Bombyx mori: one gene and its partners. The protein of the gene in region 2 purifies or fractionates together with the protein of the main gene of each other region. This does not show direct contact. Links are inferred from orthologs where the notes say so. Each region holds a gene or a part of one and is shown on either strand. Other genes may lie near its edges.

What was found. Proteins that work in one complex are often made in the same cells at the same time.
Region 1: the proteins of S-phase kinase-associated protein (region 2) and F-box/WD repeat-containing protein 9 purify together in Homo sapiens (affinity purification with mass spectrometry; 6 studies listed by BioGRID and IntAct, with this or other methods). This does not show direct contact. The link is inferred for Bombyx mori from reciprocal best matches to the Homo sapiens genes SKP1 and FBXW9.
Region 3: the proteins of S-phase kinase-associated protein (region 2) and E3 ubiquitin-protein ligase ariadne-1 purify together in Homo sapiens (affinity purification with mass spectrometry; 4 studies listed by BioGRID and IntAct, with this or other methods). This does not show direct contact. The link is inferred for Bombyx mori from reciprocal best matches to the Homo sapiens genes SKP1 and ARIH1.

Annotation. Positions count from the first base shown.
Region 1 is NC_085111.1:14,057,662-14,062,144, reverse strand, and holds part of F-box/WD repeat-containing protein 9, read right to left. Parts: intron 3,116-4,483; coding exon 2,804-3,115; intron 1,951-2,803; coding exon 1,679-1,950; intron 1-1,678. UniProt on the Homo sapiens protein: Substrate-recognition component of the SCF (SKP1-CUL1-F-box protein)-type E3 ubiquitin ligase complex.
Region 2 is NC_085119.1:7,149,960-7,154,002, reverse strand, and holds S-phase kinase-associated protein, read right to left. Parts: upstream 2,891-4,043; 5' UTR 2,744-2,890; intron 2,653-2,743; coding exon 2,164-2,652; 3' UTR 1,484-2,163; downstream 1-1,483. UniProt on the Homo sapiens protein: Essential component of the SCF (SKP1-CUL1-F-box protein) ubiquitin ligase complex, which mediates the ubiquitination of proteins involved in cell cycle progression, signal transduction and transcription.
Region 3 is NC_085127.1:9,586,930-9,591,412, forward strand, and holds part of E3 ubiquitin-protein ligase ariadne-1, read right to left. Parts: intron 3,959-4,483; coding exon 3,890-3,958; intron 2,902-3,889; coding exon 2,815-2,901; intron 2,570-2,814; coding exon 2,441-2,569; intron 1,434-2,440; coding exon 1,263-1,433; intron 263-1,262; coding exon 66-262; intron 1-65. UniProt on the Homo sapiens protein: E3 ubiquitin-protein ligase, which catalyzes ubiquitination of target proteins together with ubiquitin-conjugating enzyme E2 UBE2L3.

The DNA of each region.
Region 1 (4,483 bases), on a different chromosome or scaffold from region 2:
TTGAAATAATTCAAATGTAACAAAATTGTGTTACAGTGGAGATCAATGATGCGATTGCTTCTAATAATGTATTGTCAATAACATGGGATCCCGTGCTAGACTCTGCGAAGCAGTGACCTTGCTAGGACCAGTGTTAGCAAGCTCTATCAGGTTGAGCCTATGACCTCACCTACCAGCTGTAATATTCAGTTACCATTCATTGATTAGGTAGGAAAAAAATTACACAGGCCTCAGTAAAAAGTATTCCAACAAAAGGTCATCGGATTTTTTGCCTCATACAAAGTGGAGTGAATAAAATTATATATTTTTTTCCAATGTAAATGACTGACCCAATTTGAGAATACAAGAAATAGCGAAAACCACACGTCTTCTAAAAGCCGATCTTTTATAAACAAAATATGTTAAATAATTTGGTTTAAACTAGTCCAAATGCCAAATGTAATAACTTCGACCTCTCGCCTAACAAAAGTATCTCTATGCTTGGATAACGGAAATATGGGATTCGAAAAGGGCAATAAAGACTAAGTAGCTTGGACATCCTTTGACTAGCTAAATGAGGAATCCGTTGCGTTGCCGGAGCGTCTCGTTACGCTCAAGTGCCTGTCAGAAAACTAGCAACAGAGGGTGTTGTAGTGAGAAGGAATGATTTTAGTTTAAACTATCGACCCGCCCTCGCTTCGTTTCGGAAACATTAAATTTTATAATTGATAGCTGAGTCCCGCGATGTTACCCACGGTTATTGTCGTATTGACGCCGCGGGGCGAAGCTAGTCTAAAGAAAGTAGCCCAAGTTACTCCTTATATCATCAGCTACCTATCAGTGAAAGTCTCGTCAAAATCTCAGCGTCCAGCCGTTCCAGAGATTAGCCGGAACCAACAGACAAAAATTGTAAAAAATGTTATTTGGGTGTATGTACCGTATTCATATGCATGTAGTAAAAAGCGGTTATTTCAATATTAGAAACAGACACTTCAATTTTATTTATATGTATAGATTGACGGTAAATAATGAATTCAATTAAAAACTATTTTTAAATTACATACAAAAAACTAAATTTTCAACTGTGATTCCTGGTATTATTATTATAAAAATAAAATCACAATTGATACACTCTACATATTTACCAATATCTTCAAGACTGCAGGGAATGTAACATAATTAGAACAAGCGACCCATGGAATCATTTACTGATGATAGGGCGTCTTGTGAACCCACACGGGTAGGTACCATCACCGGGTAGGTATCATGCATTTTAGCTAGAAGGGTGGGGAGCCCATTATACAGTAAAAACTGAGACTTAGCACTCATGTCTCAAGGTAGGCAAGGCAGTATTAACAAGGTAGGCAAGGTAAGGGTTGATATCTGTGAACTCAGGTCACCACTTAACCAGGTGAACCAGGTGGGTAATGAGCTCGTCCACCATTATTAGTAGCAATAAACAAATCATGCATGACCCTGTTAACATCAACTAATGTGCAATTTTCTACTTTTTAATTTACATTATTTATTACTCCAGACACATTTTCTTACATTATTTATTGTTAGTGTGTAAGACAACACAGTTATTATTAGTGTTAGGCTTTTGATCAAAGACGTTTTTACATTATTCAAGCCTGTTGATTCACATTCCAATATTAATTAGTACAGGAGATAAAAATACTTTTTATAATATTCTTACTGAAATGTTTGGATACACTGAAATCCAGTAGCTAAGTCCCATGCTTTCACAGTATTATCCCAAGATGCAGAATAAACTTTGGAAGCGGAGTTCACAACATCTGCTGCCAAGTCCCATACCCAGCCTGCATGAGCATCATGTCTTAAATGTTTTGGTTTGGTGTCCGTTAGTGATGTTACTCCGTCATTTGTTTCACTTTTTGCACTAATGTCCGAAACATTCCACAACGCCATTCCTCTATCCCTACCTCCTGATATACACAATTCTCCATTCTGAAATTCAAACATAAACTTTTAAAATTGGTACAATTAAGTGACATTATAAGCAGATCAATATCCAATTATTATTTTTTCATCATCATCTGTTAATCCAAACATCTCTAGGTGAACTGCAGAATTCATATTGGGATATCACAGTTGTGTCGTGAGTTTTTACTGATGCCATGATTTCTATTGTGAAACGGTAATGTGTTTCAGTTTCATTACATGCTAATGTTTCATGTCTCAAAGTGGGTGGCAGCATTTATGTTTTGATTTCAGTAGCTGCTGATATAACCGCTTAACATCAGGGGTGGAGTGAGCTCATCCATCCATCCATATAACCAATGAAACAAGAGCTTCTCTATCTATCTTAGTTTAAATATAACAATAAGTTATGAATACCTGCTTTATTTTACTTTTTTTACATTACTTTATTTTCAGATATCGTAATGCATCATGTGTTAGTACAATTAAAACATTGACTATGCTAATAATAAACTATATATAATTATAATTGCTAGTTTTTTAAGTATAGTAATATATTGAAATAACTAACACATAATCTATTACATGTTGATAGTAGTATTATAGTAAAAATCAATCCTGAAGTGTGCCTTTTTTTCTCCTACCTATTCACTGGTAGCCTAAGAGGGTATTCTAGATACGCCCAGACAGGTAGGTGAGCTCACTAGCTCAACCTGAGAATTTGCCAACACTAGCTCAGGCAAGAGTACTGCAGAATCTATCACTCAATCGGAATCATGACCCACTGTGGCAGTAACCCCTTTTCATAAGCTGTAAACTGCTTGCTAAGGCCATAAAAAATTAAAAATATATTAATTTTCAATCAAGATTAGCAACTTACATTCACTAACAACACAGCATCAACTGATGCAAAATGTACATCTTTTACAACCATATGTTTCATGGTTTCTTCAACATTACACCAAGTTTTCTTTTCTACTTCCATTGCAATATATAAATCCTGCCAGTCTGCAGGATCAACATTCCATTTTTTTAAATCACCTACTGGGGGAAATTTTCCCTTAATTTTATTCTGTACCCAATGCTTCCATAGTTGATCGTCGGCTAGTATGTCACAAAACCGTAGACACACCTTACTGAGTGTATTTTTGAGAAAATATGCATCCAAAAATGAACATATTTGTAGGAAAATCTGAAATTTTAGTACAAATGTGTTCTAAGAATAGATTTCATAAGAAGATTTTACACAACATTTATCATGTTTAATTCTAGGGTCGGCAGACTAAAGCACATAAGTCAAAATTTTCAATTTATTTTTTATTACATCATCGGTTTACATTTTGCTCAACACACAATCTGACTAAAGCACATAAATCAAACTCGAGTATTTCATGGTGTATTCAAGCGGCGTTCTGTATCAACCTTATTAAATCCTAATATAATCAAACGAACTAAAAAACATAACTGGACTTATGTTCTAAGGAACACCATAAGTACAAAGTTATTAACGTAAGAAGTCTGACTTACGTTATAAAGAACATCAAAATGTAACATTTCTTTAGAGAAAGTAGTTACTTAAAAATATTTATAACGTAAACAATACTTCGGTAAGTGGTTTTAATTTACTAATGTTGTCGATTGTGCACAGTTTGTTGGTTAGTTAGTTGTGTTAGTTAGTTGTGTGTGAGTGCTTAAGTATTTTAATTATTTAAGATGAATATTCAAAGAGGCAAGAAATTAGTTGAAATGGCGTTATCCACTCATCTGGAAAGCAATGAAGGTATATTTTCACATATCTTCAAAATTATGATTTGCAAATTACGTAATTATATCAATATTATATCATTATAAATAGATAATTGCCTTGTCCTTTTTTAGAAAATGTAAATCAACAGTCGATTTTGAACACAGAGAACTTAGTAGTAGACGATCCTATACTGTCAACATCATCAGGTCAAGTCAGTAGTTTAACATACTATTCTGTACTTGAATTCTCTAGTGATGATTCTGTACGAGATCCATGTTATGAATTACCGAGACTTCCAACCACATCAAGTTCAAAGTCCTCCTCCGTGCGTCGTATTCCTCAGTTCTGAGGGTCGTGACCTTTACTGAGCACTTTTGTCAGGACTTTGTTCTTCCATTCACTTCTGTCCTCCGCGCAGTGGATAGCGACATTGATGCTGGATTCCAAAGTCGTCTTAATCTGATCGGACCAGCGCATGGGACTACGCCCCCTAGGCCTCTTTCCTTCCACTTTCTAAGATCCTACGTAGGCAAATGGTGGAGAGTCTTAAGGAGACGCCTAGTTCTTCCAGGATTGATGCGTTTGTCCGATGCGCCATCCAGGGAATCCGCAGCATTTTCCTCCAGCACCACATCTCAAACGCGTCGATCCGACTTCGATCAGCCTTCTTCAGAGTCCATGTCTCCGCCCCATATAAGAAAATAGAAAACACAAGACTTGTTACAAGTTTACGCTTGGTTTTTATGGAGATGTTTCTATCGGACCAGATGCTATCAAGCTGAGACATGGCAGTTTTTGCTATCCCGATACGTC
Region 2 (4,043 bases):
ACCGCGGTCAACACTACAACCAGACGGCGCGGCTAACCCCAAGGACGCCCAGCCGACGGAGCCTTCGAGGCGAATCGAAGGCTCTGAAACGTCGGCCGTCTCGGTACGGCAGCCCGTCGGGCCGCCCAGACGGTGCCGCTGGTGTCCCGGAATACCCCGCTGGACCAAAACCAGCCTGCCGGGTCGGGACGCGATACACCGTCGACCGGTCGCTCTATTTACTGCTATATTGTTCCTGCTGTACATCAAGGGAGGTAGAGAGAAGATAGCAACCTCATACATTGGATAGCATTGGAGTAACACGCACATTTAGTTACGAATTAAGGAAAATATTGCAGATGTCAAACCCAACATAAGTCTGATTTATTTTAACATACTCTGGACAGTGCTAATAGTGAAATTTAACATGGCTCAATACACCCTAAACAATCCTTAATTCCATAAATAGCTCATGAAGCTATTGTAAATAAAAGGAAAAAAGGTTGGATCAGAAAAAAAGTAATCATCTGACTATTACATGAAACCCCAAGTCAAACAAACTATGAGACCTAAACATTATGTTCTATGAAAAGGAGAGAATAAATAATTGATAATTATTATTAATTATTTTTTTTCATTTGTAATGATATTTTATTATTAAAATAATAATGATTGTAAACAATAAATAATTGCCAATAAGATTTTTTTCATTACAAATTTTATAGTTTACTTGCACCTCTTATCCATGACCACAAAAACTGTTAGATTTTGAAACTGAAATTATAAATTGATAATAATATACTCAAGATAAACTGTAAAAGTAGTTTTTTAATTATAAAAATTACAATCCAACAAAAAATAATCACCTTTAAAATTTTGTTTTACATAGCATACAATGTAGCACAATATAAATTAAATTGCTGGAACTCACTTCCAGTTTCTTTTGAAAGAGGCAGACGGACATTTCTGACTATGGGTTCATATACTAAGCTTTAAAAGTAATTTTAATGACAAATATCTAAGAGGAAAAAATTGTTTCATATATATTATTTTCATTTGTTATGCTGATGGTTTAATTCTATCTTAGCATCAGGAACTGACTAAGGGAATGTGGTTATCAAATACATACATATACAGTGAAAATCTATTATAACAACATCGAAGGGACTGCTCATATTCAGTCGTAACAACCAGTGATGTTTAATGTGTATCGTGCAAGTACAAACAAAGTACAAACAAATCGATAGTGAATTATTGGAAAAATATATTTACACAAAACGCAATTTTTCTTTGTTATTAATTTGTTTTTTTTCTTTGCAACATTTTGAAAGTTTCACGAATAACTCCACAAAGTTTTGGTGTGTCTTGTGTATAGATAAGTAACAAACTAACTGAAAAGATATGAAGAAGTGGGCTTTGACTCTACCGCATACACATTTTTGTTTCTAAGAATTAGAAAAGACCCTACACTAAACAAAATCCTATTGTTTTCTTTCCTGATTTTAATAGCCATTGAAGACAAATGTGGATACCTATTCAAATTGTTTACAATACAGCTTAGCCGGTCGTTCTAACAGATCTAATTCTCCGAAATATTAGTTAAATGTGGTCATTTTATTAGGTATGTCGGTATTAGCAATGTCGTATAAAGCAATGTTTTTAATAAGGCGGTCATATAGCATTCAGCCGGGACCTTTGTTCTAGGTTATTATAACCAGCATGTTGCTCAAAATGATGTCGCAGTAAACGGTTGTGACTGTATATTTATTTACTTTTTGTATTGACATTGATGGTGACAAACTTATTTTTGTGGTTTAACATTGCAATGGATACTGGCAATTTCTGGACACAATCAAGACTACCCACACAATTAGTTAAAAAATAAGCAGATGACAAAAATTTAAGTCAGTGATTTATGCTAATTATTTCTATTTCATAAAGTAAATTTTCCAATAAATATAATACAATTAAAGTTAAATGAAAAGTAATTTAAATGATAATATGAAAATTTAAATTTTATTGAAAATCACAATGACATGATGTACCTATTTTTATATAATTTACAACACAAACAAATTTACTTGGTTTAAATTAATTATTCTTTATTGCCATGGGAAAAATAGTTTAATGTTGCATACATAGTGATAATACATAAAGATGCTTGCAAATAGCATTTATTATGGTTTACTTTTCTTCACACCATTCATTCTCTTTACGAACCTGATCTTCTTCTGCAGCAGTGAAATCATTCTTAATGTTGAACGTTTTACGGATTTCTTCAGGAGTCTTTCCTTTGATCATGTTTGCTACAGTTTTACATGTGACATCTAATAAACCCTTGATGTCCAAATAATTTGCAGCTAATATTAATTCAAAGAGTGTGCCTTGGTCAACTTTCAAAAAATCAGCATCCCATGATGATATGTCATCAGTCCTCTTTTCCTTGTTTTCGTCATCTTCTGGTAGCGGAGGATCGTCTTTATGATAAGTAGCCCACTGAATAACTTTTTTGAGTATTGCAGAATTGACATTAGGTAAAGGTACAACTTCCTCTTCATCCTCTTCCATGCCTAAGTCTTCTAGCATAGTTTTGATAGTTACGGAGCATTTGGCGATTTCAACATCAACAACGAAGACCTCGTTGTCTGATGATTGCAACTTAATATTTGGCATCTAGAACAAAAGAGCGGTGGGAACGTAAATCATAAAACGACGGCTGAGAATAAGACGCCATTTTCCAATTTATAAATAGCGAAGTATTTACCTTGTTTTTTCAAGTATTTGAATGTTCACAATTAAGTGAAATTTATTTATCTTCAAACGAAAATGCCCTTATGTTCTGGAGATTTTTCCTTAAACCCAAACAGTGAATCAATGAGTGAACGAATGAATAAAATCATTAATCAATTTTGTTTTTTTTTCTGCTTTCGTTTAAATTTTTCTAAGGGATTTTATGACCTGGTAACTAAGACCTTTAGGTCATGTCTTTTTTTAATTTATATTCAGATTTTTATAAATTTTTTATTATGGAGTGAAATGAAATGAAGATGATTAATTTGAGACATTAATCAACTGGGATGAAATTAAATGAAATGAGTTGATATGGTATGAAATATAATCTCAGTAAAATGGTGGTTATTTACTAAGATTTTTTCAGTGGACTTTTTGGAGGAACTCGAGAAGTTACGTCCAGCAGCTTTGTTTCATTTTCCCACTTTTGTGCACTTTCACAGATATTAAACATTTAATAAACCACCGTTATTACACATTTAAACCTGAAGAAACACTAAATAGACAAAATAAAACAAATCACACAACTTCACTCCTCGCGCTCCCGCCAAAAGTACCTCCAACACCAATTGTTTTTTAAGGGATTTTATGACCTCATAACTAAGACCTTTAAGTCATGTCTTATTTTAATTTATATTCTTATTTTTATGAAAAATGATAATATGGAGATAAATGAAATGAAATGAAGATGATTAATTTGAGAAATTAATCAACTTAGATGAAATTAAATGAAATTTGATGATATGGGATGAAATATGATCTCAGTAAAATGGTGGTCATTTACTGAGATTTTTTCAGTAGACTTTTTAGAGGAACCCGAGAACTTACGTCCAGCAGCTTTGTTTCATTTTCCCACTTTTGTGCACTTTCACAGATATTAAACAGTTAATAAGCCACCGTTATTACATATTTAAACCTGAAGAAACACTAAATAGACAAAATAAAACAAATCACACCACTTCACTCCTCGCGTTCCCGCCAAAAAGTCCCTCCAACACCAACATTCATTTCCCACCATAGATACACACTTAGTTTCCCACACAACTAAAAAAAAAAAGAAACTTGTGAATGGAGTAAAGAAGAAATCTAATATATAAAATTCTCGTGTCACAGTTTTCGTTGCCATACTCCTCCGAAACGGCTTGACCGATTTTGATGAAATTTTTTGTGCTTATCCGGTATCTATGAGAATCGGCCAACATATATTTTTCATCCCCCTAAATGTTAGGGGTAGTCCACCCCTAAATTTTTATTTTTATTTTTTAGACAAAATT
Region 3 (4,483 bases), on a different chromosome or scaffold from region 2:
GGATCAGCTAGTTTTTTTTAATAAAAATATAGACAATTGTTAAACAATGTATTAAGACATCATACCTGTTACAGCTGTACCAGCTGCTGCCGTGGGGCTCCCAAGGTCCAAGACACACCCAGCAGAAGTCGGCCTTGCAATTCTGATTCTTGCACACCATGTGGTTGCAGCCGCCGTCCTTCTCGATGGTGACGTTGCATTTAGGACACTCCTTCGTGTTAGCCGCTATCCAATTTGAGGTCTCCGAATCGTCGTCGCATTTCTATAAATAAATTCTCTCTGTATTTTATTATATACTTTTTTTTTATAGTTACCTAATATTAACACATTCTTTTGTCTTTATAGTTGATCTAGTTTTAAACATTTTGAAATTAAATGTTTCAAAACCTAAAAAAAATACGTTTAAATAACAAAAAAATATAGATTTTTTCAAAATCCTGGTGATCAGTCTTTAAGCTAAAATAACAAAACTACTTTATTGTTATCGGTTCTTGACATGTGTGCAAATTTTCAAGTTAATCACTCGTTTTGAAGTTGGCAAAAATTACGTAGAAAAGTTCCGTTGACACATACAATAGATAGATAAACGCAGGCGAAGCCAATAAATTTATCTTTATCATTTTTTTTTATTTACCTTTTAGTAGGCAGACGAGCATACATACACCTGATGATGGTGGTGGTAACCGTCGCCCATGGACTTCAGCAATGCCAAACCAGGCCGGTGCCCACCGCTTAATACTCTCCACAAGTCTCAAACAATTCCTCAGAGCACCAATACCGTCTTTACCATAAGGGCACACGGGGCCCGTGCCCAGGGCCCCCATTCTCAGGGGGCCCCGAAAGACCGAAAATTAATCTCACACGCTTATTCTCAAAACATTTTTCTCGGGCATCTTACCCTTTTTTCAGAATCAGTAATCAGAATTACAAGATATACTATGCCTATAATAGAAGATTTTGCTCAACAGACACCCCGAAAGAAACCGTTATCGAAATCGTAACCAAAAAACCAGCAGCATTCTAATATCATTAATGACATATTATATCATACTGTATTTGATTACCTATAATAAATGGTCATACTCAGTAAAAAAATGTTATTATAATTCGCTTTTTTTACTTTCCAAAAGGGCCTCAAATTCTTGTGTGCCCAAGGGCCCCATCCTAGTTTAAGACGTCCCTGCAGAGCGCTCCCCACGGAACATATTTTACAAAATACAGAGGAAATCAAAGTCCCTCCGTAGATTTTCAGGATCACTGACCTTAATCCACTTCCTCAGTAAACAGCACCGGACCGGATCGTGCCAGTTCTCTCCGCAGGCGAAGCAGAACGTGTGTCCGCAGCGGCACGTCACCGGCGCCGCCTCCACGTACGCCACCTTGATCGCGTTGCTGCAGTCCGGGGACGGGCACCAGCGCAGCAGCCGGTTGCACTGTCGACGCGGACACCACGTTACAAAATAATACTCTTTATTGCTCATACTCTTCAGTACAAAAACAAAAACATCTATCTTTAATAATATGGCATCCAATTGTGGGGTTTTTTCGAAACGAAGTTCCTTATGGGACGATGCGGAGGGGTACCCTAACCGGGAAAAAACGACCGTAACGTAAGATTTTTATTAGTAATGCACACAGTGTACGACTTAAATTTTTTTATCATTCATTGACCACGATCTCAGAGCGTTCGTTTGCGCAATACACTAACTCTTATGCAAACAACCGTGAATGAAGTGTACCACAATAAGTTCGCACGTTACCAAATGGCCGTGGGTTGTTGCGAAACCTCCAGTTTTATTTTCTTTATACCTCGAATAGAACTTTAAATTAATATTTATATAATAAGGAACTTCGTTCCTATCCGGTGTCCCACGACACCACACTTTTTTTTTTATTGGTTAGACGGGTGGACGACCGAAACGCATTACTGCTTCACGGCAGAAATAGACAGGGCGGTGGTATCTACCCGTGTGGACTCACAAGGAGTCCTACCACCAGTAAAACGATAATTTATATAATTTTAAAAATATTATCTCGTAAATTTCTCTTGTCCATTATAATTTGTAATATTATTTTACTGTTGATATTTCCTCATCAACATTACAAGTTATGTACAAAGATGTTAAAGATAAATTGATAAAGAATGTTATTAATTTAACATCTTTGAAAGAAAAATTAATAAGATAAAGAAGTGAGATGGCTTTAAAGGAAACTGAACATGAATACTGTTTTATGCAATGTTTGTTTACGCCATTTGGAGAACGTCTCACTTTATTTCGCGAGAAGATACAGCACAAACCTTTCGATTTTAAAAAGAGACATCATGAGTAATGCAACATAATTCATAAAAAAAGAGATTGTACGTTTACAGATACAACCTCTCCATTTCCGAACGTTTTCAATACACTCTATATTTGATAGTATAAATTAAAATCATCACCTCCACAAAACTATTCGTTATAATGTGTTGATATTTAAGTTTAACACGAGAGTCTCGTACTAGCCGCATCACGGTCGCATCGTCAACAAGTATGTCGCAGGCGTGAGCGGCACAAGCTATTGTTTGACCCTGAAACAAAATCGTAATACTGTAAATTCATACAAGAAAATCCTTCTTGAATCCAGTAGACAAAACAATTCGATACTGAAATACAAAAAAAAATAATTAAAAAATACAAAGGATAAAAAATACGGTAAACAAATGCGTAGGTACTGTTTTCGCTTATCTGGATATTAGGTCAATAAACTACAGAGCGGTAGTAACACAGTTGACACAATCACAAGTCACTGAGAAGCATATCCATGATTACTCACTAAGCCTTCTTCCATTATTTTCGTAGTTAAATATTCACACCAGCATTGCGTGCAAAATCTGTGACCACATTCCAACCCAGTCATAATCTGAAAACGTAAAAGAATTAATATAAATATACTTAAATAATGTCGTATGTTCATCAAATGGAAATTGGAAAATGAACAATAACTATAGGGCTTTTAAGCGCCTTCAAAATTTATGATCTAATCTTCGATAATTTAATAAATTGATAAATACACGTGTGTGGCTTAAAAATGACCCCGTTTGAAACGAGGCCATCATCACTTATTTACCGTACCACGCGTGAGAAGTGTTACATTGCCGAGATGTTACTAAAAGGTGCAAAAAAATAATGAGGTTATGTATTTTCAGCAAGCATTAATTTACGCGGTGTTAAGCCTTTCCAATAGTTTCGTGACTGACTTTGCTAGTGATATCACCAGTATCAGTGAGCGGCAGTAACCACCAAGATTAGGGGCGTGGCCTAGAATAGTAACACTCCAACTCCTCCTTTCCACACCCAGCAGTACCAACTAACATTTTCCACAGAGAATGAGTAGCGGTGTTTCTAGTTTCATAGCAGTCAGTATACTGTGACCGCTCATTGTCACTGTCATTTATTGTAGGTAGGGTGGATCCCTACACACTTATAGGCACTTATAGCCCACACTTATAGGATACCATTCTATGTTTCTACTATGAAGCATAATAATATGGCATCTGACTTTTCAGCTTGAAGGATTGGATAATTAAGATTTCGACATATCTAAAGGTGTCTGGTGGAATTCACATTGTGATGTGTATTCGCCACTATTTAAAACCAGATGGGCAGTGAGCTTGTTTACATTGTTCATATAGTGATTCTATTTCTGCCATAAGTCAACAATGCATTCTGATTTGATTAATAATGTAGCCTTTATACAAAGTTAAACTTCAACCTCATTTCTTCAGATTAGGACATGAAACAAGACATCTATGGGTTCTCGCAACCACTTAACGCTAGCCGTGAATTCATCAACAGATCAATGATAATGAAAAACATTTTCAGGCCCTAAAAATATTTGTCAAACTTACAGAGGTTGGTAAAACTGAGAAACATATTTCACATTCTTCCATACCAGACGTTGATATCCTCCTGGGAAGCTGAAAATAAAAAAACTAGTAAGGAAATATCTAAATAAAAAGTGTAAACTGTACAGCAAAATTAAAAAAACCTTGCATTTGATTACATTGATGAGCTATACGTTTGAATGAACACTGTATTCTGCAGAGCAAAGAGAAATAATAATGGACACATAAAGCTTATAGTGGGTAAATCGCACTGTTACCAGTAAATAAAAAAGTCTACAGTTAGGATTGACGTTAACAGCCAGTTATCTCATAAGAGGATCGGGCCCAGTCCAAAACAAAAAGAAGGATTGGCATTTACAAAAAAATTCCATCCAAGTATTACATTTAAACAGTACTGTACATAATAACAACGGTGATTATTTCATAATTTGTCTTTGTAGTTACAGAAATAAATAAAACATGGAATAATGATGATATAAGAAATTAATTATAAACTACTTTTATGGTTTAACTTGAAACTTTTATTGTCATTATAATATTTCCAAATGACTCCCAACACAATATTCAAATTTGAATAAATAACAGTTTAGTGGTTAG